7 linked regions of the Sus scrofa genome follow. The protein of the gene in region 7 interacts with the protein of the main gene of each other region in a pairwise test. Links are inferred from orthologs where the notes say so. Each region holds a gene or a part of one and is shown on either strand. Other genes may lie near its edges. The genes, in order: SH2 domain-containing protein 4A-like, ENKD1, C6H1orf216, PKN1, TRIM23, FAM161A and CDR2.

The links.
Region 1: the proteins of CDR2 (region 7) and SH2 domain-containing protein 4A-like interact in binary tests that used the Homo sapiens proteins (3 or more experiments, as listed by UniProt). The two-hybrid records come from large-scale screens. The link is inferred for Sus scrofa from reciprocal best matches to the Homo sapiens genes CDR2 and SH2D4A.
Region 2: the proteins of CDR2 (region 7) and ENKD1 interact in binary tests that used the Homo sapiens proteins (3 or more experiments, as listed by UniProt). The two-hybrid records come from large-scale screens. The link is inferred for Sus scrofa from reciprocal best matches to the Homo sapiens genes CDR2 and ENKD1.
Region 3: the proteins of CDR2 (region 7) and C6H1orf216 interact in binary tests that used the Homo sapiens proteins (3 or more experiments, as listed by UniProt). The two-hybrid records come from large-scale screens. The link is inferred for Sus scrofa from reciprocal best matches to the Homo sapiens genes CDR2 and C1orf216.
Region 4: the proteins of CDR2 (region 7) and PKN1 interact in binary tests that used the Homo sapiens proteins (3 or more experiments, as listed by UniProt). The link is inferred for Sus scrofa from reciprocal best matches to the Homo sapiens genes CDR2 and PKN1.
Region 5: the proteins of CDR2 (region 7) and TRIM23 interact in binary tests that used the Homo sapiens proteins (3 or more experiments, as listed by UniProt). The two-hybrid records come from large-scale screens. The link is inferred for Sus scrofa from reciprocal best matches to the Homo sapiens genes CDR2 and TRIM23.
Region 6: the proteins of CDR2 (region 7) and FAM161A interact in binary tests that used the Homo sapiens proteins (3 or more experiments, as listed by UniProt). The two-hybrid records come from large-scale screens. The link is inferred for Sus scrofa from reciprocal best matches to the Homo sapiens genes CDR2 and FAM161A.

Annotation. Positions count from the first base shown.
Region 1 is NW_018084867.1:67,243-71,490, reverse strand, and holds the start of SH2 domain-containing protein 4A-like, read left to right. Parts: upstream 1-1,341; 5' UTR 1,342-1,464; intron 1,465-1,637; exon of another isoform or gene 1,638-1,692; intron 1,693-4,248. UniProt on the Homo sapiens protein: Inhibits estrogen-induced cell proliferation by competing with PLCG for binding to ESR1, blocking the effect of estrogen on PLCG and repressing estrogen-induced proliferation. May play a role in T-cell development and function.
Region 2 is NC_010448.4:28,282,565-28,286,357, forward strand, and holds the end of ENKD1 (enkurin domain-containing protein 1), read right to left. Parts: intron 3,377-3,793; coding exon 3,204-3,376; intron 1,631-3,203; coding exon 1,505-1,630; intron 1,402-1,504; coding exon 1,238-1,401; intron 1,139-1,237; coding exon 1,002-1,138; intron 912-1,001; coding exon 751-911; 3' UTR 544-750; downstream 1-543. Other genes in the region: PARD6A (partitioning defective 6 homolog alpha), read left to right, coding at 1-223. UniProt on the Homo sapiens protein: Microtubule-binding protein which regulates microtubule organization and stability. Promotes the stability of astral microtubules and facilitates the proper orientation of the mitotic spindle.
Region 3 is NC_010448.4:91,887,701-91,891,873, forward strand, and holds the start of C6H1orf216 (UPF0500 protein C1orf216 homolog), read right to left. Parts: upstream 2,804-4,173; 5' UTR 2,590-2,803; intron 25-2,589; 5' UTR 20-24; coding exon 1-19.
Region 4 is NC_010444.4:64,818,351-64,822,544, forward strand, and holds the start of PKN1 (serine/threonine-protein kinase N1), read right to left. Parts: upstream 2,834-4,194; 5' UTR 2,760-2,833; coding exon 2,721-2,759; intron 1,728-2,720; coding exon 1,424-1,727; intron 1-1,423. UniProt on the Homo sapiens protein: PKC-related serine/threonine-protein kinase involved in various processes such as regulation of the intermediate filaments of the actin cytoskeleton, cell migration, tumor cell invasion and transcription regulation.
Region 5 is NC_010458.4:44,136,291-44,139,924, reverse strand, and holds part of TRIM23 (E3 ubiquitin-protein ligase TRIM23), read left to right. Parts: intron 1-462; coding exon 463-625; intron 626-3,634.
Region 6 is NC_010445.4:79,962,670-79,966,303, forward strand, and holds part of FAM161A (protein FAM161A), read left to right. Parts: intron 1-1,550; exon of another isoform or gene 1,551-1,632; intron 1,633-3,068; coding exon 3,069-3,634. UniProt on the Homo sapiens protein: Involved in ciliogenesis.
Region 7 is NC_010445.4:23,827,749-23,831,382, reverse strand, and holds part of CDR2 (cerebellar degeneration-related protein 2), read right to left. Parts: intron 209-3,634; coding exon 1-208.

The sequences.
Region 1 (4,248 bases), on a different chromosome or scaffold from region 7:
CGTGGCCCAGACCTACTCTCTGTAGGAGTGTTGCTGCCATGTGAAGGCGACAGTCCTCCACAACGCATTGCAGATGCCAGAGTCGGAAATGTTTCCACTGAGAGCATGGCCCAAAGGGCAGAAAATAATTCAGGGCCTCGTAATTACATAACAGAGCCCCTTGATGTTTTTTGGAGCAATTTTACCATGTGGAGCATTTGAACTGTAACACATCCTGCATACCTATTGTGTGTCTGGGTGTTGGGTAGGATTCAAACCTTCCTGGGGTAGATTAGTCCTTACTTGATGTTTATGATTTCAAAGAGGTATAAAACATAGAGCTGCTGTAGCAGGCAGTGCTGCAGGGAGGATGGCAATGCAGGCCCTGGCCATCTGTTCCCTGCAGGCCCCCAGTGTCACCACTGGCCTGGCTCCTGGCAAGTGTTCATTAAATGGTTCTCAGATGTGTTAAATGCTCACTTTACAGTTCTTCCACTGCCCATGCAAGAAGTGTTAGGCTTCCTTCAGAGCTGGCCACAGCAGCGAGCCAGGGCCAAATGACACTCCAGCCAGAAAGACCCTAAGGGGCCATTCATTTAATAAGCAGTGGAACCAAACTGAACCAGGAATTCTCCCCAGATAGGATCTCCAGAATAGCCTTTAAATAGCTAGGCAGGAGGACTGACCTCTACCCCAAGGCTCTAACTTCTGTAGTACGGGAAGCCTAGAAATGGGAAGGTTTCATTCTGAAGGAGCAAGTCAGGCAGGCTGCGTGGAAGAGGACCACATCGCAGTCTATAACCTCTCTCCCTGACACCTGCACCATGGGGTCACCAAAGCAGGCTGTTTGCCGCACACATTCTGAACGTTTCCTCTAGAAGGAACATGCCCCCCCAATGTTTCCACGCTGCTTCTACTGAACTTTCCTCCCAGATTTCCTTTTCCCTCCTCGGCCAGCTCCTCCTCCTTCAGCAACCACCCCAACCTGACTTGGCCGCTGCTCTCAGCATTCCTTTTCTTCTGCCCTTCTCTTTGGATTTCTTTCATTTTCTCTCCCCGTCCCCGCTGTCTCCAGTCTCCATCTTTCCAGCTGTTCTCCTCTTTGGTCCTGTCCTCCTACAAAGCCACACCCCTCCGGACAAGTGCCCAAGAGTTTGGTAATTTTCTCAAAGTCAACAACAACAACAACAACAACAACAAAAAGTGAGCTCCAGAGGCGCCAGAACAGAAGTTCAGCCCGCGGAGCGAAGAAAGGCCCGCCCGCCGCCGGCTCAGGCCCCACCTGCCAGGAAGCCTGGTGCCTGGCCGGGATCTCACCACCGTCCGCAGGACGCGCGCGGCGGGACCAGCCCCGGTGCCGCAGGTTCGAACGGACGGGCGGGCTGGGGACGCGCTTGGCTCATGTCGCGGCCGCGTGTCTGTGCAGCCGACTGCTCCTTCTCCTCCCTCGGCACCCGATCAGGCGGCCCAGCCCCGCGCAGGCAGGTGCGGGCCGGGAGGGGCCAGATGCGGCCAGTGAGTGCGGGCGAGCGGGCGGGCGGCGGGGGTGGATGTCCCCGTGGGTTCTGGTCCCGCTGGCGCGCGGCGCGTTCCTCCGCCGGGGGGTCAGGTGCTGGCGGGGCGGGCGGGCGAGTGTCCGGTGTCGGTGTCCGGTGTCGCTGCACCGGCGGGAGAGCAGAGGCGCTGAGGGCCGGCCGGCGGTCGTGGTGAGGGGTACGCGGGCGGCGGGGCGCGCGGGAAGCTCCTGCTGCAGGCGGCCGCGTCCCCCGAGGGGCGCGAGCGGGGCTGCCAGGGAGGAAGCGTGCAGAAGGCCGGCAGTGGCCCGTGGGGGTCGCGGGCGGAGGGAAAGGCCGGGTCTGAGGGCGCTTTCTGCCTTTGAGGGTGCGGGGTGGGGCCCAGGGTGGGCGCGCAGGGCCCAGGGTGGGCGCGCCGCCCCCCGGAAGGCGGACCAGACTGTGGCCGCAGGTGGCCTGGCCGTGACCTTTCCCTGCTCTCTCCCGCCCTCTGGTTCACGCGGGCTCCCCAGAGGTGGCATGAGGGGCAGCGAAGAGGGCAAAACTGTGCAGGTTTGCTCAGAATTGTCTTACCCTCCCAAGAGTCACTGGAAGAGCAAGTGAACTCCCCTCCTCTCTTTCTAAACTTGGAGTCTGCTCACCTCCTAAAAGGCTTTGTTTGATTGCCTGTTTAATAGAAATGACTTGGGATACAATCATTATTTTAAGTGAATAAGTGAGTGAAGGCCTATCCCAGGTACAGATTTGGCATGTGAGAGGAATTTCTGGAGAAATTCACGTACAGCGATTTTTAAATACCTGAAGAATGGTATGTATTTATCAAATTTACCAAACTGCTGTCACCCATGGTAATTTGTTTTATCCTCAAAAATAGCCCTTTTGCAGATAGATTAACAAGGTAAAGTTGAGTAAGAGCATGGAAAGTCTGGAAACAGGGCTTTTTAAAAAGAATTAGAATTCAAACTATGTTTTTAACATTAAAGTACACTGTCCATATTACAATATTTTTATGATTTAGGCGTATCTCTGGTAAAGTAAGATCTCAGAGTCATTCAAAATACAATTCTTGGAGTTCCTGTTGTGGCTCAGTGGTTAAGAACCTGACATAGTGTCCACAGGAGACGGGTTGGATCCCTGGCCTTGCTCAGTGGTTAAGTGAGGATCCTGCATTGCTGCTGCAGCAGCATGGATTGCAGATGCAGCTCTGATTAGACCCCTAGCCTGGCAACTTCCAAATGCCGCCGGTGCAGCTATAAAAAATACCAAAAAATATAATTACTGTTTATAAAACAGTGGCTCTGGGAAATATGGGTGCCATGACCCTTTGAATTTTTGGAAAAAAAATAGCAGATGTGGACTCTTTGCTTGTTGTCATTTCTGTGTTTTAAGAATAGTGCTGCTCAGGAGGAAAAGAGTTAGCTGAGTTTTCCTTTCTACTGGATCTTAAATAACTGGGTAGCACTCAATGAATTGGATACGGAAGTTACCTGTGTTTGATCGTATCAAGCACTGATTGTCAGGGAAACCAGGGGAAACCCCTGGTTGGTTAATTTCCTTGTTTCTGTTTCCGCTGACCCAGCCCCACTTGCGTCTGGAACTCCGCACTATAATGTAGTGTATTCCTAAGATGACAAAGATTCAAGTTCAGGCTCATTTCGTGGCAAGGAGACTGAGTCCGAGGAAGGGAAGTGACAACGCAAACATCCACAGCTCAGGAGAGGCAGAGCTGTGAGCCGAGAGCTTCCTGTGCTGTGTTTGAGGAAGGAGTTCCGTTCACGCTGGTGGGTGTTCACAGCCTCCGAGTGGCATGCATATTATTCAGCCTCACCCCACAGAAAGGTTGTAAACTATGTTCCCAAGTTTCCCCTGAGGACAGGGGGAGGCCAGTGTCTTTCCTTCAAGATCCACTTTAACGTCAAAAATCTATTTGTTGCAAAAGGCAAAACGGCACAAAATCGCAGCTGTGAGGTCTTGACTGTGTCCCTTCCTGCCATCCTTCTGCCCCCTGCCCCCAGTGCTGCTCTTGGGGGTGGTAGGAGGGGGACTGAGGAGGCTCAATACTCAGTGACTGACTGGGCATCAGTATCTGCGCCTGCGCCAACATGACGTCACTTCCCGCCATCTTTCCGGGGTGAGGGCTTTTCAATGCCCAGCGTCCCCAAAGCCCACCTGCAGTTACAGAGATGAGGCTTCTGCCTCCCAAGAAGGACCCTGCCTCATGTACCTTCGGTTCACCGTTTCCGCTGCCTCTAGAATTTGCTGGTTTTCATTCTGAAACTTCACCCGTGGGGCCTCATCCTGATGATGTTCTGATTCTGGGCTCACGGAGAAAACCTCCTGCAGTGACGTGGAGCCAAACCGCCCAGTGCCGCCCCTTTCCATCTTCTGTGAAATGGGCAGAGGGAGGGACTGAACACCAAGGTTATGGTGAAGGTTCATAAGTTACTGCATGTGCAGGGCTCAAGGTGGTGGCTGCCCAGCAGGAGTCAGCGCTTGTCACCAGTGCTGGAGGGAGGGGGCGCTGTGAAGGTGGCACGTGCCAAGTTGTAGTTTTTAGGCTCTCCCCACACCGTCGGTGTTGCTGTCACCCAATTCAAAATGGGGAACAGAGTAGAAGTTTCCAGCTTCCCTGAGCAGCTCCTTCTCCACGTGTTTTATTCCTATGAAAGTCAGGCCTGGTAGAGGCGTGTGCCAGCATGAGGACGTTTACCGGAATGTCAAGGACTCATTGACTTTGGTTTCTTACCACTTGAAC
Region 2 (3,793 bases), on a different chromosome or scaffold from region 7:
TGGTGAGCCTGATAGTGACGATGACAGCAGTGATCTGGTCACTGAGAACCGCCAGCCTCCTTGTTCCAATGGGCTGTCTCAGGGGCCTCCATGCTGGGACCTGCGCCCAAGCCGCCTACTTCCTGGTGCCCGCAGCTCTCTGCCCTCCCTGGACGATCAGGAGCAGGCCAGCTCTGGCTGGGGGAGTAGCATGAGAGGAGATGGCAATGGCTTCAGCCTCTGACAGGCAAGGATGCAGGCCCTTGCCCCTCCAGGCTGCTGGGACATGGCAGAGACTTCCCCAGTGGGTGTTTTTAGCTTGCTCATGGGGCTGAATCAGTCTGGGGAACATTAAAGGTTTTCTACAAATGCAGTCATGGTCCTTGTGTGTCCCAGCCCTAGCCTCCTCCCTGATCCCACAAACCTTGCCCTCTGCCCTGGACATGAGGCAGGAGTGGAGGAGTGATAAAAAACAGTAGAGAGGTCTTCCTATAGTCAAGCAGCAGGAGGACCACCAGGCTTGGCATTTCTAGGGTAAGAAAAGATCTTATGGAAACAAACCCCGCTGTGTACAAAAGGTTTAATTTTGACAAAGTGATTAAGAGGCTGAGATGGCCCTTCCACAGCCACCAGTGGCTGTGAAGAGTGCTCTGGGGATACTGCCCACCCCACTGCTCCTGTCTTGAGGGCCACTCTATTATTGGGCCCAATCCGGCCCTTTGCAATCATGTAGCAATCCTCCCCGAAACCCGCCTACAACCAGGAAAGGACTCAGGCATCCATCTTCACAAAGACCTTGGGGCGGGAAAAGATCTTGATGGCCTCCTCTACCTGCACCAGCTTCCGGTCCAGTTCAGCACGGTGGCTCTGGGCCCTCAGGGAATCTGCCCCAGCAGGCAACAGCACCAGCTCACGCAGCAGCTGGCTCTGGCCTACAGGGGCCCCAGGAACAGTAAGTGCTGGGCAGGGGTGCACTGTCCCCAGTGGGCTCCCCATCCAGCCCCCTTTGCCCATGTACTTACTCTGGAGCAGGTTGCTCAGTGTCTCCAGCCGCTGGTTCTCAGGCATGCGAGTGTGGCCAGGGGGCATGGCCGGGTCTGGCTGGCTGTGCTGACGGGCCTCAGCCTCCCGTCGCCACAGATCCCTGCGCTCCAACAAACTGCGATGCACAGAATCAGAATGGATCATCCCAGGGCAGGTGTTGGCTCCCACCCTCCCTAAGTGCCCCTGACCCTGGGTATTGGGCAGTAGAACCTACTAATGGGGCACGTGACCCTTCTGTGTGGCATTATAGTGCTCCTGGGCTTGCCGTTGCTGCTCCAGCACCTGTGACAGGACTTGGAGCGAGCGAGAATGCCGCCGGGGGGCCCTCTTGGCAGTGCGGGCATTGTGGGTAATGAAGTCCACACCTGGGCCTGGCCCCTGGAGGACATGGCAGGCGTGATGAGGCAGACAGCACTGTGTTGTGCCCTTGAACCTCCCCAGGCTCCCTGCCCCACCTCCCAGGCCCCAAACATCCTCTCACCTTAGCATTGGGACCTGGCGGGGTTAGCTGGGGACTGGGGACACGGGGTGGTGGGAGCCCAGGGCCACAGCGAGAGTGTGCCCGCAGGAAGTGGGCAGGCTCTGTCCCGGAAGCAGGGCCGGGCTCCTGGAGGCCAAGTCACAGCAGAGGGATCAGTCAGGCTGAGGTCAGGGTCTCAAGTCGTAAGACCAAGACTCTGTCCCTCCAGGCTCTTAGGATCTTTCACTATCACCAGCCCTAGAGGTCTGGCCTCCCTCCTCTTGAAGGAGCACTTCTCTCCATCAGCATTTAAACATGTGTGTTTTTCACATCTTTAAGAAAACAAATAATCTTCCTTTTACCTTAGTCCTGACTTCAGGTACTATTCTCTTGCCTTCCTAGCCAAGCTTTCTGGCTCTGTCCCCATTAAGGTCTCCGATGCCCGACCTCCAAGCCCTCAAATCTAAGGCCACTTCCCTGGTCTCATCGTCCTCAGCCTGATCCTCAATAACTCCTGGGTCTCACTCCTGAGATCCAGACCTGATTCTCCATCTGCTTCCTGGACACATTCCCACTCCCTGGGAGTCCCACAAATGCTTCAGCTTCAACACATCCACATATGACCTTAATGTCTTTTCTCTCAATCCTGCTTCTCCTTCTCAGGCCCCTGGATAAAGAAATGGTGGCATTATCTATCCAAGACACAATCCCACTACCATATATGCCCCTGCCCATACCCTTCCCACTGTCCCTAAAAATAACAGTTATAAGTGGATTATGTGGTTCCCCCGCCTTTTTTTTCTTTTTACAGCTGCACCTGTGGCATATGGAGGTTCCCAGGCTAGGCGTCGATTTGGAGCTGCAGCTGCAGGCCTATACCACAGCCATGGCAACGCCAGATCCAAGCTGCATCTGTGACCTACACAGTAGCTTGTGGCAATGCTGGATCCCTAACCCCCTGAGCAAGGCCAGGGATCAAACCTGCATCGTGGATACGGATACTATGTCGGATTCTTTTTTTTTTTTTTTTTTTGGTCTTTTTTAGGGCCGCACCCGCGGCACATGGAGATTCCCAGGCTAGGGGTCAAATCGGAGCTGTAGCCACCGGCCTACACCACAGCACAGCAACAAGGGATCTGAGCTGCATCTACGACCTACACCACAGCTCACGGCAATGCCGCATCCTTAACCCACTGATCAAGGCCAGAGATAGAACCCGCAACCTCATGGTTCCTAGTCGGATTCGTTAACCACTGCACCATGACGGGAACTCCTATGTCGGATTCTTAACCCAATGAGCCACAATGGGAACTCCTATGTGGCCCTTTATGATGTGGGTCCAGCTGACTTCTTGGCCTAACCTCATGTTCTTCCCTCACAGTGCACTGAACACAGCATCCCCACTGGCCACACTCCCTCTGGTCTTAGGACTTCTATCCATGAGGCTCCATCTCTATAGAATGTTCTCTTCCATTCTCCCCTTGTCTAATTCCTACTTGCTCCTCAGAAGAATCATAACTTTTTCAGAAGTCATGACTTCTGAAAAAAACAAAACAAAACAAAAAAACCCAGCCCCGCCCTGCAGCAAAACCAGCTGTCTCCTAGTCCCCTGTCACCTTAGTCCCTTGGGATTTTCCTCCCTCCTCAGAACTCAGGTCAGAGTATAACTGCCTGTTGGCCAATAAGATGGGCAATACTTCTAGCTCCTTGGGGTAGGTACCTGCAGCCGGGCCTTGACACGGGACTCCACTTTGTCATACTTGGGTGAGCGCCACAGAGCCTTCAGGGGCCTAGGCTGGCCCTGCTCCCGGGTGCGCTCCTGCTCACGGAAGCGCCTCTGGATCTCCCTGATCCGCCTCAGGTTCTCCTGCTCGTGGTCTTTAGGGTCCTTCCCTGGAGAAAAGATGGTGCCAGGCTCTGCCCTACCTACAGCCAATGCAATCCACTCACACCAGTTGACTCACAGGTCCACACACTGCCTCCCACAGAAAGACCTTCCTGATGTCTCCATTTAAGTTAGATTCTCTATACATACTCCACCTCATCTCCCTGTTCCCTTCCTCACATGGTAATTATCTTCGTCCATCCCTGACCATTTTCTACATTTTCATTGTCAAGTATACCATTAATCATCTTGCACATCATATGCATCTCCTCACTTGTTTATTGTCTCCCACCTTGATTCAATGATGCTCTTCTTTAACCTTGTTTTCTTAGAAACTTTAAGGTCTGGTGCACAGTAGACGCTCAACAAAAATATTTCATTTAGGCCTGAATTCATGAAGGTGCGCTACAGGTTTCTGGGGAATA
Region 3 (4,173 bases), on a different chromosome or scaffold from region 7:
CTGGCTGGACGGCAAACATCTGGTCTGTAAAGGGAAGCAGAAGAATGTAGTCAAAGCAGGATGGTGTGGGTTGCTGAGGTTGAGACAACCTGGCCACAGGACAAGGCTTCTCCTTCTCAGCCCCTTTCCCTCCACTCTGGTAACACCTTCCTTTGCAGTCTTCTTCCCCCCTCTCTGTCTGCCGATTTTCCATCTCCTCACAGGGTTTTCCCTTAGCCCTGGGAGGCAGCTTGTCTTCTCTTAATGCACTTCTTCCCAAATGACCTCATGCTCTGCTGTAGCTTCAAGAACAACCATGTGTTGGGGCACTCAGATCTGTCTCCAGCCCAGACCCGACAGCTACCAAATTCTGCAACCAAGCCTGGGTTCCTCAAGTTCCCCATGTCCAGACCAGCTCTCCCCGTTCCATGTCCGCAGCAAGACGGCCCCACTCTCCAGTCCGTCACTGTAGCTAAGAATCAAGAGCAGCCTGGACTCCTCACTTGCTTCATTCCCTCCTCACTAGCCATCAAATTCAGACAATTCTTTCTCTTAAAAACCTCAGAGAGACACAGAGAGGGAAAGAGAAAGAGAACGTGCGTCTGTACATACATCTCCCCTCGCTTTCACTTGGTTAGGGCTGTTTCTGGATTACTGACTGCTGTGGCCTTTTCGCTGATCTCTCTGCCTCTAGTTAAAAATTTAACTTTGGGAGTTCCCGTGTGGCACAGTGGAAACAAATCTAACTAGTAACCATGAGGTTGCAGGTTCGATCCTTGGCCTCACTCAGTGGGTTAAGGATCCAGCGTTGCCATGAGCTGTGGTGTAGGTCACAGATGCGGCTCGGATCCTGTGTGGCTGTGGCTGTGGCATAGGCTGGCAGCTGTAGCTCAGATTTGACCCCTAACCTGGAAACCTCCATATGGCAGGGTGTGGCCCTAAAAAGCAAAAAAAAAAAAAAAAAAGTAAATTTGTCATGGCTCCCCCCAACAAACTCTGGCTAAACCCCTTTATGGCCTACAAGGCCGTGCTTCATCTGGCCCCTGCTCACGGCTCCAGAATTGCTTCTTGCCACTCTGCCCCTCCCACCACCCCAAACTGCTCAGAGATCTCAGGACACACCATTATTCTCATTACACAGTTCCCTTGGCCTACACTACCCTTCCTCTCCCCTTCCCTCCAAACTCCTCCCTTTGCCACCCAGACAATTCCTTTTTGTACCTCAAAACTCAGCTCTAATAGCCCCACCTCTCTAAGCCATCTGGATATTCTCCCCTCTGCCCAAAAGACACTAACACAGCTAACTGTGCCTTCTTCTGAATCCCCACTGCCCTGGGTCTTTTTGCCATTTTCTTGGGCTGCTCCTGCGGCACATGGAGGTTCCCATGCTAGGGGTCGAATTGGAGCTGTAGCTGCAGGCCTACGCCAGAGCCACAGCAACGCGGGATCCGAGCCGTGTCTGCAACCTACACCACAGCTCACGGATCCTTAACCCACTGAGCAAGGCCAGGGATCCTAGTCGGATTCGTTAACCACTGAGCCATGACGGGAACTCCCATGTTTGTTTCTTGATGGTCAGTAAATGTCTATTCAAGTTTTTGGGGTTTTGCTTTTTTATCTGTCTTACAATAGCAGCTTCCACTTCTGGCTCTGTGACTAGAGATAGAATTCCTCTATATATCTTCCATCATATTCAGGAGCCAGTATGGAGCCTGGCACTAACCAGGTACAGTAGATCCTTGCCGAGTGAGTGTGTGAATGGGGGAGGGGGACTGCAGTGGGATATCTATGCTCAGGAAGACCCCAACAACAGTAGCAGAGGCTACAGCTGAAGCCTAGGTTCGCCCCTCTGCTCAGAGAGGAACCCCCTCCCCCACTGACAAGCCTCTCTCCCCTGACCCGGCCCTTTGAAGCCTCCATGTCTAGCACAATCCCGGTGCCCCTGCCTCTAGCTTGCTCCATCCTGAGGCCCTGGAAAGAGGGCATGCCCCATTATTCTTCCTCCCCAACAACCGACCTCTCCCAAAATTAGTGTTTACTTGACGAGAGCTTTCTATTGACCATATATTACTAGGATTCGAAAAAGTGGGGGTTCAGTAAGAGTGAGGGATAGTGTAAGTGGAGGGAGCAGGGACCCTTCCCACATTCAGTAGTGGGAAGAGGTCCTAGGAGCAACGGTTTAGGGACAGTCCCTTTGTAACCTACACACTCCATCCTGTTAAGCAAGGGGCTTGGAGATCTTCCTGGCCCAATGTTTTCTTTTTTTCTAAGCTTGGGCGGGGGCCGTGAGGGAAGCTGGGATGAGTGGAGGTGGTACTAAGAATCACGGGGTTCTCAGAGACGGTAAAATGGGAATGGAGACAGCCCAGGATCAGGTTTCTCTCCAAGCTAATTAGCAATTTGCCGAGGTGGGGCGCTCTGTAAGGGTGGGAGGAGGCAGCCCCCCTTCCTGCCTAGCCTTGAGGGGGTGGGGGAAGGAGACTACCCCGGGAGACCGAGGATACTGACGGCCCTTCCTTAATCTCCCCCAAAGAGGCAGCTGGGCCGAGGCTGCGACCCCCGCCCCCTGCGGCAGGGGTCCAAACCCTCCCGCTCCGGGCCCCCACTCACGGCCTGGAGGCGCCGGCCCGCCCAGCTAGCTCTGTTCCGAAGGCCCGCGGCGGGAACTCTTCCGTCGGGGTTGTGGCGGGGGCGGGGGGGGGTTGTCCCTTGGCCTGGGCGTCCACGCGGGCAGGGGCGTGGGTGCGGGTTTTCGTGTCGCGCTCCCACCCAGGCCGGGACTGCGGAGTCGCGCGGCGTCAGCGCGGCGGGGCGGGGCGGCCAGGCCCACGTGGGTCGGTTCGGTTTTCCGCGGAGCCGCGCGAGGGCCGGAGCGCTGGAACCGCCTCCTGAGCCTTCGGCACCTTTGACCCAGCCCTTGCAGACTCTGTTTTATTTCATAACTGCGTTCACAGGATCCCTCCGATCGGTTTGCCTCACTGCACATTCAGTGACATTTTCAGAATGAAAATCTGATCATGTCTCCACCTTCCTGCCTAAAACCATTCAATGGCTTCCGCATTGCAGGCTAAATCCTTAGGGCAGCAGCCGTGGGGCTCTGAGCATCCTGCTTCACCTCTGCGGCTTCAGCCTGTGCCCTCGCCTCTGCAGCTGGGCTTCACGCCCCTTCTGCCACACTGTTCTCTCTGCCGAAAATTCTCTCCCCCATCTCATATTTCGGATCTCTTCTCAGAAAAACCTCTAACCTCCCAGATCAGATTAGTCCCCCCTTTTTATGTTATCCTCCAGGGTGTTTTATTCCTTTTCTTAATAGCAGCTATCACCATTTAAAGTTATATGTTTCTTTTGTGCTTATCTGATTAAAGTCATTTAATGAACAGAGTAATTGCTGACTCTATTGATAAAACCGAAAAGCACTGGCTGTTAAGGAGAGGCAGCCCCAGAAAAAAATATGGGACAAATTTAGCCTTCAGGTCATAGGATCTTCCAGAAGATCCCTTCTACACCCTCACCTTTACTGGACAAACCAAGCAATTGGCTATAACTTCCCCATGCTCCCCCCTCCCCCTGCCAATTAAAAACAAGCACAACTAGGAGTTCCTGTTGTGGCTCAGCAGTTAACGAACTGACTAGTGTCCATGAGGACTATGGTTCGATCCCTGGCCTCACTCTGTGGGTTAAGGTTCTGGCAGGCCATGGTGTAGGTCACAGACGCGGCTAGGATCCAGCGTTGTTGTGGCTATGGTGTAGACCGGCGGCTACAGCTCCAGTTGGACCCCTAGCCTGGGAACCTCCATAAGCCATGGGTGCGGCCCTACAAAAGACAAACAACAACAACAACAAAAACCCTCAACTAAACTAATATGGATTCATTTTTGAGTCGTAATACATTAGAAAATACCATTGTCTTTCCCCCTCCTTTCTTTTGCTTTTTTTTTTAAGAGAATTTGAGTCTGATCTCTATGATGAGGCATCCTCTTCCATTCCCAGCTTAATTCTAACTTCCCACTCTGCAATAGAGATTAAATGGCAAATTAAATCACACCAACACATCCTGTAAACAAAATAAAGGAAGTGGAAGAGAAAAATCATTTTATGATTAGGACAACTATTTTAAGAGAGAAAAGGAAATAAAACGGAAAAGGAAGAAGTAACTCAAGCTTTGGGTACTCCCCCAGCTAAAAATATATATGC
Region 4 (4,194 bases), on a different chromosome or scaffold from region 7:
AGGGCCGGGAGGAGAAAGAACTGGGGGCCAGGGGACCCAACCACACCATCGGTCACAGGAAACCCTCTCAGCGCTGGGATAGGACCAGCATGAATGAGCATGGGCAAGTGTCCAGGGGTGCATGAGTGCCTGGTGTTGGTGTGACTATACATACCTTTGTACAGAAGCCCCCAACTATGTACATGGCTGTGTGGCTGTCCATGGGTGTGGCTATGCTTATGTCTGTGACCCGAAGGGTGTTGGCATAACTGAGCATATGTGTCACCCCAGGTGCTAGTGTAACTGTGAGATGTGAGGTGTTGGAGTGACTGTGTGAGGCTCTGGGTGCTGGGGTGACTTTATGCATATGATTCCGACTGTCGGCACAACGGCATGTTCAGATTTCCTGGCACTGGGACCACTGTGTCCAAGTGTCCGGGTGTTGGTACAGTCAGACATGCGTGTCTCTGGATGCTGACAGAGATCTGTGTCAGGCTCTAGACAGTATTGTGACTATGCGGGGGACTCTGGGTACAGCTGTGACTGGATGAAGTTTTGGGTGCTGGCTGAACTCTATCTCAGAGTGTTGATGTGACAGTGTTGGTTTTCAGCTGTCATCTAGGCAGTGTAGGTGTGTTGAGGTAAGTGGTGTTGAGTCTTGTCTGATTGCGTATGTAAGTTTTGGGCTGTTGATGGATTGGAGAACATCTTAAGGACTGGGCAGATCTGTGTAAGTGTGACTCTCTGGGGGTTGGTGTGAACATGTCTAAGTCTCTGGGTGTTGTTCGTGTGACTATGTATTTCTCTAGGTGCTGGGTGGTGGTATGGAAGTTTCTGGGTGTTGTGGTGAGTCTATGAGAGTCTCTGGATATTCATACATTAAGACAGGTGCTGGCATGACTGTGTGAGAGGGTCACTGGCTCCTGATGTGATGAGTTTAAGGGTCTTTGGTCACGAGATGCAAACGTTGTGCAGATCCTTTGCACAATAATGTGCGTCTTCTCAACATCATTGAACTATAACCTTCAAAATGATGCATTTTCTGTTATTTGGGGGTTTTGGGGGCTGCACTCGCAGTATGTGGAAGTTCCAGGTCAGGGATCGAACCCATGCTACTACAGTAACCAGAGCCACTGCAGTGACTACATCGGATCCTTAACCCACTGAGCCCCAGAGGAATTCCTGTTATGTGAACAAGTCTTTGGGGGTTGTCCAAGTGGTGTGTGACCATGTGAGTCTAGATACTCATGTGGGTGTAAATCCTTTGGGTGTTGCCAAGGTGTGGGTGTACCTGTGTGTACCTTTCTCTGGGTGTTGGTTTTGGCTTCTTTTCTGGTTGTATTCTGAGATAGAGCTGTCATGAGTGTGTTTCCCTGGGGGTCAGTAGTGATGGGTGAGCCCTGGAACCCCCACAGTCCCGCATCCCTGGGAAAGCCTGGCTCACCATGGGCAGTGGCTGCGGGGTCAGGCAGCACCACATGGGCATGCAGCTCCTGCAGCTGCTGGTGCAGCAGGTCAAGCCTGCGTGAGGAGCCACGCAGCACAAGCTCCACAGGACCCAGGCTGCGGCCCAGGTCGGTAGTAGCCCGACGCAGATTCTCAGCTCCCTCCTTCAGCTTCAGCTCCTTGCGGATCTCCCGCCGCAGCCGTTCCCGCTCCAGCTCCAGCTGCTGCTGCACCCCGGGGGCCGCCAGGTCGGCACCCGCCAGGCCCAGCTGCTCCAGCAGGGACCAGCTGCGGGGCTCACTCTGCAGGGGGGACGGAAGACAGAGTGGGGTCAGTGGGGACCAGGAGGACTCTGGGGTGCAGACCATACTCAGCCAACCTGGCTTGGCCTCCTCTCAGGGTGGGACTCCTGACACAGGGCCAGCTCCATGTTCTCTGACCACCCCTCACCGCCACCAAAACTGGGAAGTGAGACAAGACGCTGTCCCTGCTTACTGACATCACCAAACTGTGGTGTCCCCAGGGCAGGGCCTTCTTCCTTCCCTGTCCCCTCGCCTATGGGTATAGTTCTGTCTCCCTTCATCTGTTCCTATGCAGTGAAACTCTGGAAGACAAGCCCCATCACTCCACCACTGTGTCCCCCATGTTGGGGGTTCCCTGAGGACAGGTACTATTGCCCTTCCCTTGTCCTCTCAAATTAGAGGGTTCCAGGGACAGACCTCATCTCCCTTATGCTGTCCCCCCAAGTGACACAGTCCTGAGGGCAGATCCTTTTCCCCTTTTGCTGCCCCCCAAACTGGAGATAGGCCCCATCTCTACTCCCCTATCCCCCAAAGTAAGAGGTCCTGAAAGCGGGTTTCATCTTCCCTCTGTTGCTCCCCAAACAAGGAAGTATCAAGGGCAGGCCTCTGGTGCCCCCCAAAACCATAAAGTTGGGGTCTCAAGAGCAGGCCTCCACTCCTCACTGCTGTGCCGTCAAACTAGATGCTGAGGGACAGGCCTCGTCTTCCCTTCTCTTGTACCCCCAAACTAAGAGACAGGCCCTGTCTCCCCTCCTTTCATTCTCTACAACCAGGACCCTAAAGAGCAGAGCCCTGTCCTCTTTCTCCTCTGTCTCTCCAACCTGGAAGACCCAAAGGGCCCCCCGATACTTTTATCTTTCAAACAGAAAACTCCAAGGCCAGCGCCCCATCTCCTCCCCTCAGTCCAAAACCCAGAGCCAAGGGCAGGGCCTCTGGCCCGTGCTGCTTGGGGTCCTCTTCTGCCAACCACCCCATAAGGACCCCAGCCCCCACCTCCAGCTCCCGGTCCAAAGGGGGACCAGCCTCCGCCATCCTGGGTCCCGGCTGAGGGCCCCGCCCTCTTCCTGAACCTCAGCCTTGCCAGGGCCTCTCGCCTGCCACTTCCTCTTTCCTGCTAGCTCCCAGCAACCCCCGCGACAGGCCGGCTCTGGGGCTCTGGGGCATCTAGAGGGCCTTCCTCCCAGCCCCCACTCCAGGGCTGAGCCTGCTTCTCTGGAGGCATCCCAGGAATGGCCCCAACTCCCTGAACCGAGAGGAGACCCAAGGTGTACACAGAATACACACACTCACAAGCCCACTAGTGTGGACACAAAGAGCAGCCTCCCCCATGTGTACAGGCTCCAGGGGCTGACCTGGGTGGGCTCGCACCCTCGTGTACCCATAGGGGTGTGCACAGATCACAGGCTGACGAGTGTGTGCACACCCCCACGCCTGCCCCTGTGTACATTATACGCAAACACTCAAGAGTGCTTATGTGAGCAGCCCAGCCCCCTTCCTGCAGACACAGCCTGTCCCAACTTCCGGCTTCTCAGCTCGGTCGCCCGCTGCTGCTGACCACACCTTGGAGGCTTAGGAGGCCCAGCCAGCCCAGCGGCACCTCCTCAAGGCCCACATTGTGAGGGGACAGCACTGGAGGATTGAGGTGAGGGTGTCCCCAAACCAGGGGCTCACTAAAACTCAAGTATGACTATTAAGAATGGTGACAGTTACTACAATTGCACCCAGGTCGACTAATGCAACTCCAGGAAGCAGGTGCTATTATCATCCCATCTTCTTTTTTCCTTTTTTTGGAGGGGGCACCTCACAGCATGTGGAGTTCCTAGGCCAGGGATCAGATCTGAGCCTTATGCTGTAACTGTGGCAACGCTGGATCCTGTGCCAGGCTGGGGATCAAACCTATATCCTGGAGCTGCAGAGATACTGCCAATCCTGTTGCACCACAGTGGGAATTCCTATCGCCCCATTTTCAAGATGAGGAAACTGAGGCCTGGAATGGTGACATAACTTGCCCAAGGCCCCTCAGCCAGCAGGAGGCAGAACTGGGATTTCCAACAGGAATGCCTAGAATCTGAGCACTGGCTAGGTGTCAAGCATAGTGCAAAGAGCTCCATGTACATTATCTGCTGCCACTGTGAGAACCCATTTCAGAGATGAGGAAAGTCATGGTTGGATCCTGACCAACTTCCAAGGCAGCTGACCCCGGGGAGAATTTACTTCTAGCCAAAAAATATCCCTCCCAGGATTCTACCGACCCCTCACATTATCCTGAGCAGCTGTCATAATTCTCCCCCACTTTATAGGTGAGGAAACTGGGGCTCAAGAGGTGACAGCTTCAGTTCTCAATGGAGGAAGGGATTTTACCACCACCACCCAACTTTTGGGGACATCTGGCAACATTCAGAGACATTTTTGGTTGGTTATCACAACTAGGGGTGCGACTGGCATCTACTGGGTTGAGCAGCAGAAT
Region 5 (3,634 bases), on a different chromosome or scaffold from region 7:
TGAAAATTACTTACAGTCTTTACCTAACAAGTTCTTTATCATTTCCAAGGTAAATTGTCATCCTGGCACATTTCAGATTATTTTTATTCGAATTAATGATTTTTTTTTTTTTAGAATTAGGTAATTGCGGAGAAATTTTTTAAGAACCCAAGTTCAGTAGAGTTATTTGTTGTTGCATATTCAGATATAATGTATCATGTAATAATTTTCAAAAGCAAAAGAAATTGAATTTACAACATTATCTTGGTCCCTGACACTTATCCTTTAAAGGAAATTTCGCTGTGATATAATTTTGGTACATCTGTCAGAAGAAATGATAAAAGGTGATTTAAGACTTTACAGCTAGACAGTTTTATTTTCATGAAAGAATAAAGTAATTTAACAAGATTAGGGATTTTTTTAGCCTAAAATATTTATGCTTTTAAAGTCATTTAAAGAGCTCATTTCCTTTCCAAATACTAGGTGCTGGAATGTGGAGTTTGTGAAGATGTCTTTTCTTTGCAAGGAGACAAAGTGCCTCGCCTTCTGCTTTGTGGCCATACAGTCTGTCATGACTGTCTCACTCGGCTGCCTCTTCATGGAAGAGCAATCCGTTGCCCTTTTGATCGACAAGTAACAGACCTTGGTAGGAAATACATATAAAATTGTTCATGTAACACAAATGTCATAGAAAACAATTTCTTTATAATTGACTTTTAAAGTTGTAAAATTCCAGGGTGATTGCAGTTTCTTTTTTCTTTTTTCCTTTTTATGGCCATACCTGTGGCGTATGGAAGTTCCCAGGCTAGGGGTTGAATTGGAGCTGCAGCTGCTAGCCTATGCTGCAGGTGCTGGCCTATGCCACAGCTGCAGCAATGCCAGATCTGAGCTGCCACATCCGAGCCTGCCACATCTTCTACTTGCACCACTGCTTGTGGTAACTCTGGATACTTAACCAACTGAGTGAGGCCAGGGATTGAATTCACATCCTCATGGATATTGTGTTGGATTCTTAAGCTGCTGAGCTGTAACAGAAGCTCTGATTTCAGTTTCTTTTAAAGCCAATAATCTTGACACTATAAACCAGTGCACACTTATGTACTAGTTTTATTTCATCTTCTGAGATTTTTATATTTAGCACTTAAAGTTGAATAGTTTTAAGATACCTGAGAAGAACCTGCTAGCCTTATTTATTTACCTGTAAAACAGTATTTACTTTAGAAATGAGTAAACCAATAGTGGAAATACAGATAAGTCATTTGAGTCTCAGCATGTTGCTATTTACCAATATCACACAGAAGTGGGGCCAGCAAGGCTGAGGGGGAAATGCTACATAGGCTGCATAAAGTACTTGGTTGGGAAAGGAGGTCACAGAAATCAGAAAGATGAATACAGATAATTAGCCTAGTTTGAAAAAAAAAAACTTTTGTGCACTGCAGCAAGAAATGGTTTCTTTCTTCCTTTCTTTTTCCATCCATCCCCTTTTATTTCTCTTCCCTTTTTTTCCCTCTCTTCCTCCCTTAGAAAAGAGGAACAAAGAAGAAGGGAGTCTGCAGCCAATGACCGCATCATCCTTTTACTTATTTTTTAAGTGAATATATGCTAAGGGCAGCTTTTTGTCAGATGGTATATGTTGTATAGAAGCTCATCATAACAGACGGATGTTCCTTCTAATTGCTGAAGCATCTGGCTTTTATTTGTAGGCTCAGGAAGAGTTTGTGTATGTGTTTATGCATGTGCACGTGCATATGCCCGTATTGTGTAGACACACGTACATGCACATATGCATGCTCGCCTGGCCTTTTATGGTCAGTTCTGAGGAAAATAAATATCAATCCTTATTCAAATGTGCCTAGAGTCTTAACTACTTAAAAGGGACTGTTGTCATGCTTTGATATGAAGCTCTGTGTGTTTTCATGAGAAGGAGTTTATATATTCATTGACTGCTATTAGGGCTCTAGGTTAGATGAGGAGTGTGGAAAATACTATCTTTAACTGTTCTAGTTCTGGTATACTTCAAGATGGATTTATTTTAGGTTAAGTGTATCTTTCATACTGTAATTTTTTAGACATGAATCAGAGCTTATTTGTGGTCATAAAATCAGTTTAATTGGATATGAACAGGATTTTTTTTTTAGAAAAGAAATAGGATAGGAGTTCCTGTTGTGGCTCAGTGGAAGCGATTCTGAGTAACAACCATGAGGATGTAGGTTTGATCCCTGGCCTTGCTCAGTGGGCTGAGGATCTGGTGTTGCTGTGAGCTGTGGTGTAGTTCGCAAATGTGGCTCAGATCTGGTGTTGCTATATTGCTCCAATTGGACCCCTAGCCTGGGAACCTTCATATGCCATGGGTGTGGCCCTAAAAAGACAAACAAACAAACAAAAAAGACAAAAAAAAAAAAAGAAATACAACAAAAACCCATCAGAGCATCAAAGTGTATTGCATCCTGCACACTGTGAGGGTGAATGTTAATGTGTAAATCTTTTGTATCAGACATCTGTGTACACACACACACACACACACACACACACACACACACACACACATATAACTGTGTCTTATCCTAGGTTGTGGTGTAAAATGTATTTCTTACCATTGGTTGTTATAAAAAATATTTAAAGTACATGATTTAGTATATGTATTAAAAGTCAGTGGCAAATAGGATTCATAGGAGTTCCTCTTCTTGCTCAGTGGTTTACATGAAGATGTGAGTTTGATCCTGGGGCTCGCTCAGTGGGCTAAGGATCTGGCATTGTCTTGACCTGTGTTGGGTCTCCTGTTGCTCTGGCTGTGGTGCAGGCTGGCAGCTGCGGCTCCAATTTGACCCCTAGTCTGAGAACTCCCATGTGTTGCAGGTGCAGCCCTAAAAAAAAAGAAAAAAAGAACAAAAAAGGATTTATAAAGTTAAATTATAGAATAATAATTAGGAGTTCCCTGGTAGCTCAGCAGATTTATTTAGTTTTTATTTTTTGTTTTATTGGTGTACCCGTGGCACATAGAAATTCCTGGGCCAGGGTCTGAACCTGCACACTAAGAAACCTGGTTTGTTACAGTGACAATGCTGGATACTTAACCTGCTGAGCCACAAAGGATGGGAATTTTTTTTTTCTTTTGTCCTTTTAGGGCCCCACCCGCAGCATATGGAGGTTCCCAGGCTAGGGATCTAATTGGAGCTGTTGCTGCTGGCCTATGCCAGAGCCACAGCAACACCAGATCTGAGCCGTGTCTTCGACCTACAAGACAGCTCATGGCAATGCCGGATCCTTAACCCACTAAGCAAGGCCAGGGATCGAACCCGCAACCTCACGGTTCCTAGTCAGATTTGTTTCTACTGTGCCACAACAGGAACTCCGTGTTTGGTATTATAAAGAGAATATTAAAGACAGCTGTTCTAGCGTGAACAGAAAATGGAGAAATTTTTAATTTTTATTTATTTATTTTGGACTTTTTGCCTTTTCTGGGGCTGCTCCCATGGCACATGGAGGTTCCCAGGCTAGGGGTCTAAATCAGAGCTGTTGCTGGAGCTATTGCTGCCGGCCTATGCCAGAGCCACAGCAACATGGGATCCGAGCCATGTCTGCAACCTACACAACAGCTCACGGCAACGCCAGATCCTTAACTCACTGAGCAAGGCCAGGGATCGAACCTGCAATC
Region 6 (3,634 bases), about 56 Mb from region 7:
TGTGGAATGTAAAATAAAATGTGTACCTAAAAGTGCAGAACAAAATTATTTCAGAATATTTTCTCACAAATATTCCCCACATCCCCACTCCCCCTTTCTTGGCTTCTCAGCAGCATATGTAGTTCCTGGGCCAGGGGACAGATCCAGGCTGCAGTTTTGACCTAAGCTGCATCTGCAGCATGGCTTGATCCTTAACCCACTGTGCCAGGATGGGTATCGAACATGTGTCCCAGCACTCCCAAAACACCACCAATGCCATTGTGTCACAATGGGAACTCCGCAAATATCCCTTTTAAAAAAAATTTTTTTAAATTCTTTTTTGGCAACACCGTGACATGTGGAAGTTCCCAGGCCAGGGATTAAACCTGTGCCACAGCAGCAACCCAAGCCACAGCTGTGATAATGCTGGATCCTTAAGCCACAGAAGCACAAGGGAACTCCATCCCTTTGTGTTTTTAGTGATATACAGAAGTAGAATTTTATTCAGGTTGTTTGCTGGCCTATCGACCTACTAGGTGGCTTCTTGCTTTGAGGGTCATTTAGTGGCCATTTGGTCCTTCCTCTCTGACCCACCACTTTTAAGACTTTATCAGAAATATTTAGTCTGGGCCATTTTCAAATGATGAGTATTAAAATTTAATTTTAAAAGCTCTTTATAGTTAACATGAGCTTATTAAAGATAGAGTATGAATTGTTCAGGACTAAGGAATAAATCTGGGAGTTCCCACCATGGCCTAGTGGTTAATGAATCTGACTAGGAACCATAGGTTGTGGGTTCAAATCCATGGCCTCAATTAGTGGGTTAAGGATCTGGCATTGCCATGAGCTGTGGTGTAGGTTGTAGATGCTGCTCGGATCCCGAGTTGCTCTGGCTGTGGTGTAGGCCAACAGCTGTAGCTCCAATTAGACCTCTAGCCCAAGAACCTCCATATGCTGCAGGTGCAGCCCTAGAAAAGACAGAGAGAGAAAAAAGAAATCTTGATTTAAGTTTTCAAAAAATAGTAATTTTTGCCGTAAACTTGCTTCTTTTGAAACTCGAGGCAAGTCCCTTAACTCATCCACTTGGTTGGTGCTAATTTGCATCTCCCATGTGCCAGACTGTGCCTGGGCACTGAGGAGTCAAAATTAAAGTGCCCTCAAGGAAGTCCAAGACTAGCTGAAATCCAGAAATACAACACAGTGTAGCAGAGTGTTAGAGACAGAGGAAGAAGCTGTTGATTATGTCAAGATGTCAGTGGAGGGATGCAGGTACTTGAAGTGTCCTGTGTTCAATCTTAAAGGGGAAATGGCTGAAGCAGATGTAGGAAGCAAGGAATGGCATTCTAGGCAACAGAGCCATGTGTGCAAAAGCACTGGTGCCACAGAAAACTGTGTGAGGAACTTCCCATGATTAGATCTGACTTAAGAGTGGCGACAGGGGAGGGAGAGGCAAGATGTGAAACTAGAAAGGTAGACAAGGGCTAGTCCTCAAGGGCTTTATAATCTAGACTTTGTAACAACAAATTGTAGAAAAGTTTCTGGAAGGGGCATAAGGTGGTCAGATGTGTGTTTTATGATAGTGACTCTGGAAGATGTGTGGAGAATTCAGTAGCGGTTGGATACAAGGCACCTCTGCCGTCTCAGCTTCCTCCCCTGTAAATGACAAAGTCCAATTAGATTGTTTATAAGGGAGTTCCCGTCGTGGCACAGTGGTTAATGAATCCGACTAGGAACCATGAGGTTGCGGGTTCGGTCCCTGCCCTTGCTCAGTGGGTTAACGATCCGGCGTTGCCGTGAGCTGTGGTGTAGGTTGCAGACGAGGCTCGGATCCCGCGTTGCTATGGCTCTGGCGTAGGCCAGTGGCTACAGCTCCGATTCGACCCCTAGCCTGGGAACCTCCATATGCCACGAGAGCGGCCCAAAGAAATAGCAAAAAAAGCCAAAAAAAAAAGATTGTTTATAAGCATCTCGCAGTCTTTCTTCTAAAAAAAAAGCGATAATTTTCACAAGCCCTAACCAGCTCCTATTTTCTAACTTTTTTTTTTTTTTGGCCGCACCCTTGGCATGTGTAAGTCCCCAGGTCAGGGGTCAAACCCACGCCACAGCAGTGACCCAGGCCACTGCAGTGACAGCAGCTGATCCTTATCTTGCTGCACCACAAGAGAACTCCATCTAACTGATTTTATCTTGATCTTAGAAATTATGTAAATCTATTCTTTTTTTTTTTTAGAGCTGAACCTGCGGTATATGGAAATTTTCAGGGTAGTGGTCAAATTGGAGCTACAGCTGCGAACTACACCACAGCTCCTGGCAACACTGGATCCTTAACCCACGGAGCTAGACCAGGGGTTGAACCTGTGTCCTCATGGATGATAGATTAGTTTCTGCTGAGCTTCAGTGGAAACTCCCAGAAATTATGTAATTCTTTTTTTTTTTTTTTGTCTTTTTGCCTTTTCTAGGGCTGCTCCCACGGCACATGGAGGTTCCCAGGCTAGGGGTCTAATTGGAGCTGAGGCCGCCAGCCTACTCCACAGCCACAGCAACTCGGGATCCAAGCCTCGTTTTCAAACTACACCATAGCTCACAGCAACGCCAGATCCATAACCCACTGAGCAAGGCCAGGGATTGAACCTGCCATCTCATGGTTCCTAGTCGGATTCGCTAACCACTGAGCCATGACGGGAACTCTGGAACTATGTAATTCTTTTTTTTTTTTTTGGTCTTTTTGTCTTTTTGTTGTTGTTGTTGTTGTTGTTGTTGTTGTTGTTGCTATTTCTTGGGCCGCTCCCGCGGCATATGGAGGTTCCCAGGCTAGGGGTCGAATCGGAGCTGTAGCCACCGGCCTACGCCAGAGCCACAGCAACGCGGGATCCGAGCCGAGTCTGCAACCTACACCACAGGTCACGGCAACGCCGGATCGTTAACCCACTGAGCAAGAGCAGGGACCGAACCCGCAACCTCATGGTTCCTAGTCGGATTCGTTAACCACTGCGCCACGACGGGAACTCCGGAACTATGTAATTCTTAATTTTTATATTTAGTCACATGCAACTGAAAGAGTAACCTAATTACTCCTTTCACTTACTTAGGTCTGTATCAGAAAAGAGCTATTGTCCTGTCTCGTTAATGACATCGGTTTCAGAGCCTGATTTAGGTGAGTCTTCCTCCTTGGTTGTATATTCCTCTGAAGATGAGTCACCCAACTTAGAAAAGGAGTATTCTGAGAAAAGCAGAATGATGACCTATGCCAAGGAGCTCATCAACAACATGTGGACCAACTTCTCTGTTGAAGATTATATTCAGTTTGAAGATGCTGACTTGCCAGCACTTGAAAAAATAAAAAAGAAACCAAAAGAATGGGTTCCAAAGATCACAATACCTGAGCCTTTTCAAATGATGATTAGAGAGCAGAAGAAAAAGGAAGAGAACATGAAATCTAAGTCAGATGTTGAAATGGTACATAAACTGCTTAAAAAACAAGAAGAAGAATTAGAGTGTAAGAAAAAATTCCGAGCCAATCCAGTTCCTGCATTCGTTTTTCTTCCCCTTTATCATGATGTAGTCAAGCAAAATGAGGAACGGAGGAGGTCTATGAGGGAGAAATACAAAGAAGCTCTTTTGGCCTCACAAAGGCCGTTTAAGTTTATGGCAAGAG
Region 7 (3,634 bases):
CCCCAGCTGCCGCTCCAGGTCGCGGTTCTCCTTCAGCACCAGCCCGAACTCCTCCTCCATGGTCACTCGCTTCTGCCGCTCCAGGCTCAGCTGGGCCTGCAGCATTGTCACCGTTTTCTTCAAATGCTCGTTTTCTTCTTCATCGGGGCTTTGCCGACTTTGTAAGGAAGTGATCTGCTCGGCAAACACGTGATCGTACACGAAGTGCCTGGGGAAGATGTTTAAAGACTCTGTTAACGCAGGAATGCAAAGAGGGAGGCTGATGATTTTTTCCAACTATCTATTTTTGAGGAGCTGTGATGCAACTGATTTTTTTTTGCCTACTCCATGCTAGAGCAATGGTTACAAGGAATGTGTGAGGCTGGCAAATAAACACGTGAGAAAATATAGCTTTTGTGACCGATATTTTTTTAAACATTAAAAATACTACAGGAGGAATTCCCGTCGTGGCGCAGTGGTTAACGAACCTGACTAGGAACCATGAGGTTGCAGGTTCGATCCCTGGCCTTGCTCAGTGGGTTAAGGATCCTGCGTTGCTGTGGCTCTGGCATAGGCCGGTGGCTGCAGCTCCGATTAGAGCCCTAGCCTGGGAATCTCCATATGCCGCAGGAGCGGCCCTAGAAAAGGCAAAAAACAAGACAAACAAACAAACAAAAAATACTACAGGAGTTCCCATTGTAACTCAGCAGGTGACGAATCCAGCTAGTATCCGTGAGGATGCAGGTTTGAGTCCTGGCCTGCTCAGTGGGTTAAGGATCTGGCGTTGCCGTGAGCTGTGGTATAGGCTGCAGAAGCAGCTTGGATACTTGTTGCTGTTGCTGTGGCACAGGCCAACAGCTGCAGCTCCAATATGAGCCCTAGCTTAGGAACTTCCATGCGCCTCGGATGCAGCCCAAAAAACAACAACAAAAAAACACTACAGAACATCCATTCCCAGAGAATAGCAGGATCACTGATACTGGTCAAGGAAATTAGCACGGCCCAGTGGTGCTCGGCCTTGGCCGCAGCCTAGAATCACCTGGGCAGTCAAGAGAAAACTACTGATGCCTGGCTCCCATCCCATAGATTCCGACCTAGCTGGTCTGCCTAGATGTGGGTCTCTCTCTCTTTTTTTTTTTTTTTTGCCATTTCTTGGGCTGCTCCCGAGGCATATGGAGCTTCCCAGGCTAGGGGTGTAACTGGAGCTGTAGCCACCGGCCTACACCACAGCCACAGCAACGCAGGATCCGAGCGAGCCGGGTCTGCAACCTACACCACAGCTCATGGCAATGCCAGATCCTTAACCCACTGAGCAAGGCCAAGGATAGAACCTGCAACCTCATGGTTCCTAGTCGAACTCGTTAACCACTGAGCCACGACAGGAACTCCAAGACGTGGGTCTTTCTTAAGCTCTTCATGTGATTCATAATATGCAGCTAAGTTTGAGAACCACTGCTGCAGTGATTTTTAACCAGGAACAGATGTCAGAATCACCTGGGGCAGCCTTTTATTCCCACTTAGAGATTCTGATTTAGGCCAGAGGGAGTCAAAATGATCTTGCAGTTTGAAAAACTCATGGGACCTAATCAAACTTACAAGCTTTTGCACAGCAAAGGAAACCATAAAAAAAAAAAAAAAAAAAAAAAAAAAAAAGACAAACTACAGAATGGGAGAAAATAGTTGCAAATGATGCAACTGACAAGGGCTTCACTTCCAAAATATACAAACAACTCATACAACAGCAAAAAACCAAACAACCCAATTGAAAAATGGGCAGAAGACCTGAATAGACATTTCTCCAAAGAACATATACAGATGGCCCACAGGCACGTGAAAAAAGCTCACTAAAACATCACTAATTATTAGAGAAATGCAAATCAAAACTACAGTGGGTGCCATTCACATCAGTCAGAGTGGCTATCATCAAATCAATAAGTCTACAAATAACAAATGCCGGAGAGGGTGTGAAGAAAAGGGAACCCTCCTACACTGTTAATGGGAACGTAAATTGGTACAACCACTACGGAGAACAGCATGGAGGTTCCTCAGAAAACTAAATGTAACACTAGCATATGACCCAGCAATCCCACTCCTGGGCATATATCCAGACAAAGCTTTCACTCAAAAAGACATATGCACCCGCAGGTTCACTGCAGCACTATTCACAATAGCCAGGACATGGAAACAACCTAAATGTCCATCGACAGATGAATGGATTAAGAAGGTGTGGTACATATACACAATGGAATACTACTCAGCTGTAAAAAAGAACAAAACCATGCCATTTGCAGCAACATGGATGGAACTAGAGATTCTCATACTAGGTGAAGTCAGTCAGAAAGCAAAAGACAAATACTGTATGACAGCACATACCTGGAATCTAATATGTGGCACAAATGAACCTATCTACCGATAAGAAACAAACTCATGGACATGGAGAACAGACTTGTGGTTGCCAAGGGGGAGAGGGAGGGAGTGGGATGGACTGAGAGTTTGGGGTTGGTAGAAGCAAACTATTGCATTTGGAGTGGATAAGCCATGAGATCCTGCTGTAAAGCACAGAGGAACTGTATCTAGTCCCTTGTGATGGAACATGATGGAGGATAATGTGAGAAAAAGAATGTCTATTATAACTGAGTCACTCTGCTGTATAGTAGAAATTGACAGAACACTGTAAATCAACTATAATTTAAAAATTAAAAAAAAAAAGAAAAACTGCACAGGGTAATCTGATGAATAAGGCTGCGGACCACCGAATGCACGAGCTGGCCTCTCTCTGGTTCAGGGTCCTAGACAACTTGGAACTGTACTTTATGTGTGTGATTATCTGCTTCTCTGCTTCTCCACGGGACTGAACTGTCTGTCTTGCTCACCACTCCACATACCTGCCTTGTGACAGGGGCTCCAGAAATATCTATTAAATAAAGACTCAATCTCATAACTCTTAAGTTGTAAACACAACTCTGCAGGCCAAAAAAGAACCTCTTCTATGGGCCTGCATTTTTGTTTTACTGCAATTTCCATTTTTTTCTTCACTGACATGTGAAATACAACCTCCAAATCTGTAGTCTATCAGAAGCACTGCACCTTCTTGTAAATTAAAATTTAACAAGTTAAAAGCACTGAACTAAGGAGATCCTGTTGTGGCGCAGTGGTTAATGAATCCGACTAGGGACCATGAGGTTGCGGGTTCGGTCCCTGGCCTCGCTCAGTGGGTTAAGGATCCGGCGTTGCCGTGAGCTGTGGTGTAGGTTGCAGACGCAGCTGGGATCCCGCGTTGCTGTGGCTCTGGTGTAGGCCAGCGGCTACAGCTCCGATTCGACCCCTAGCCTGGGAACCTCCATATGCCACGGGAGTGGCCCCAAAAAGACAAAAAAAAAAAAGCACTGAACTAAATACTCCCAAGTTTTTAAAAAATCAGTTTTCACAGAATTACTAATACCCAAGAACTCTATCATTTGTATGTTTGTTTTTAATTTTTGTCTTTCGTCTTTTTAGGGCCACACCCGCAGCACATGGAGGTTCCCAGGCTAGGGGTCAAATCAGAGCTGTAGCTGCTGGCTTACATCATAGTTCACGCCAACGCTGGATCCTCAACCCACGGAGCAAGGCCAGGGATCGAACCCGAAACCTCATGGTTCCTAGTCAGATTCGT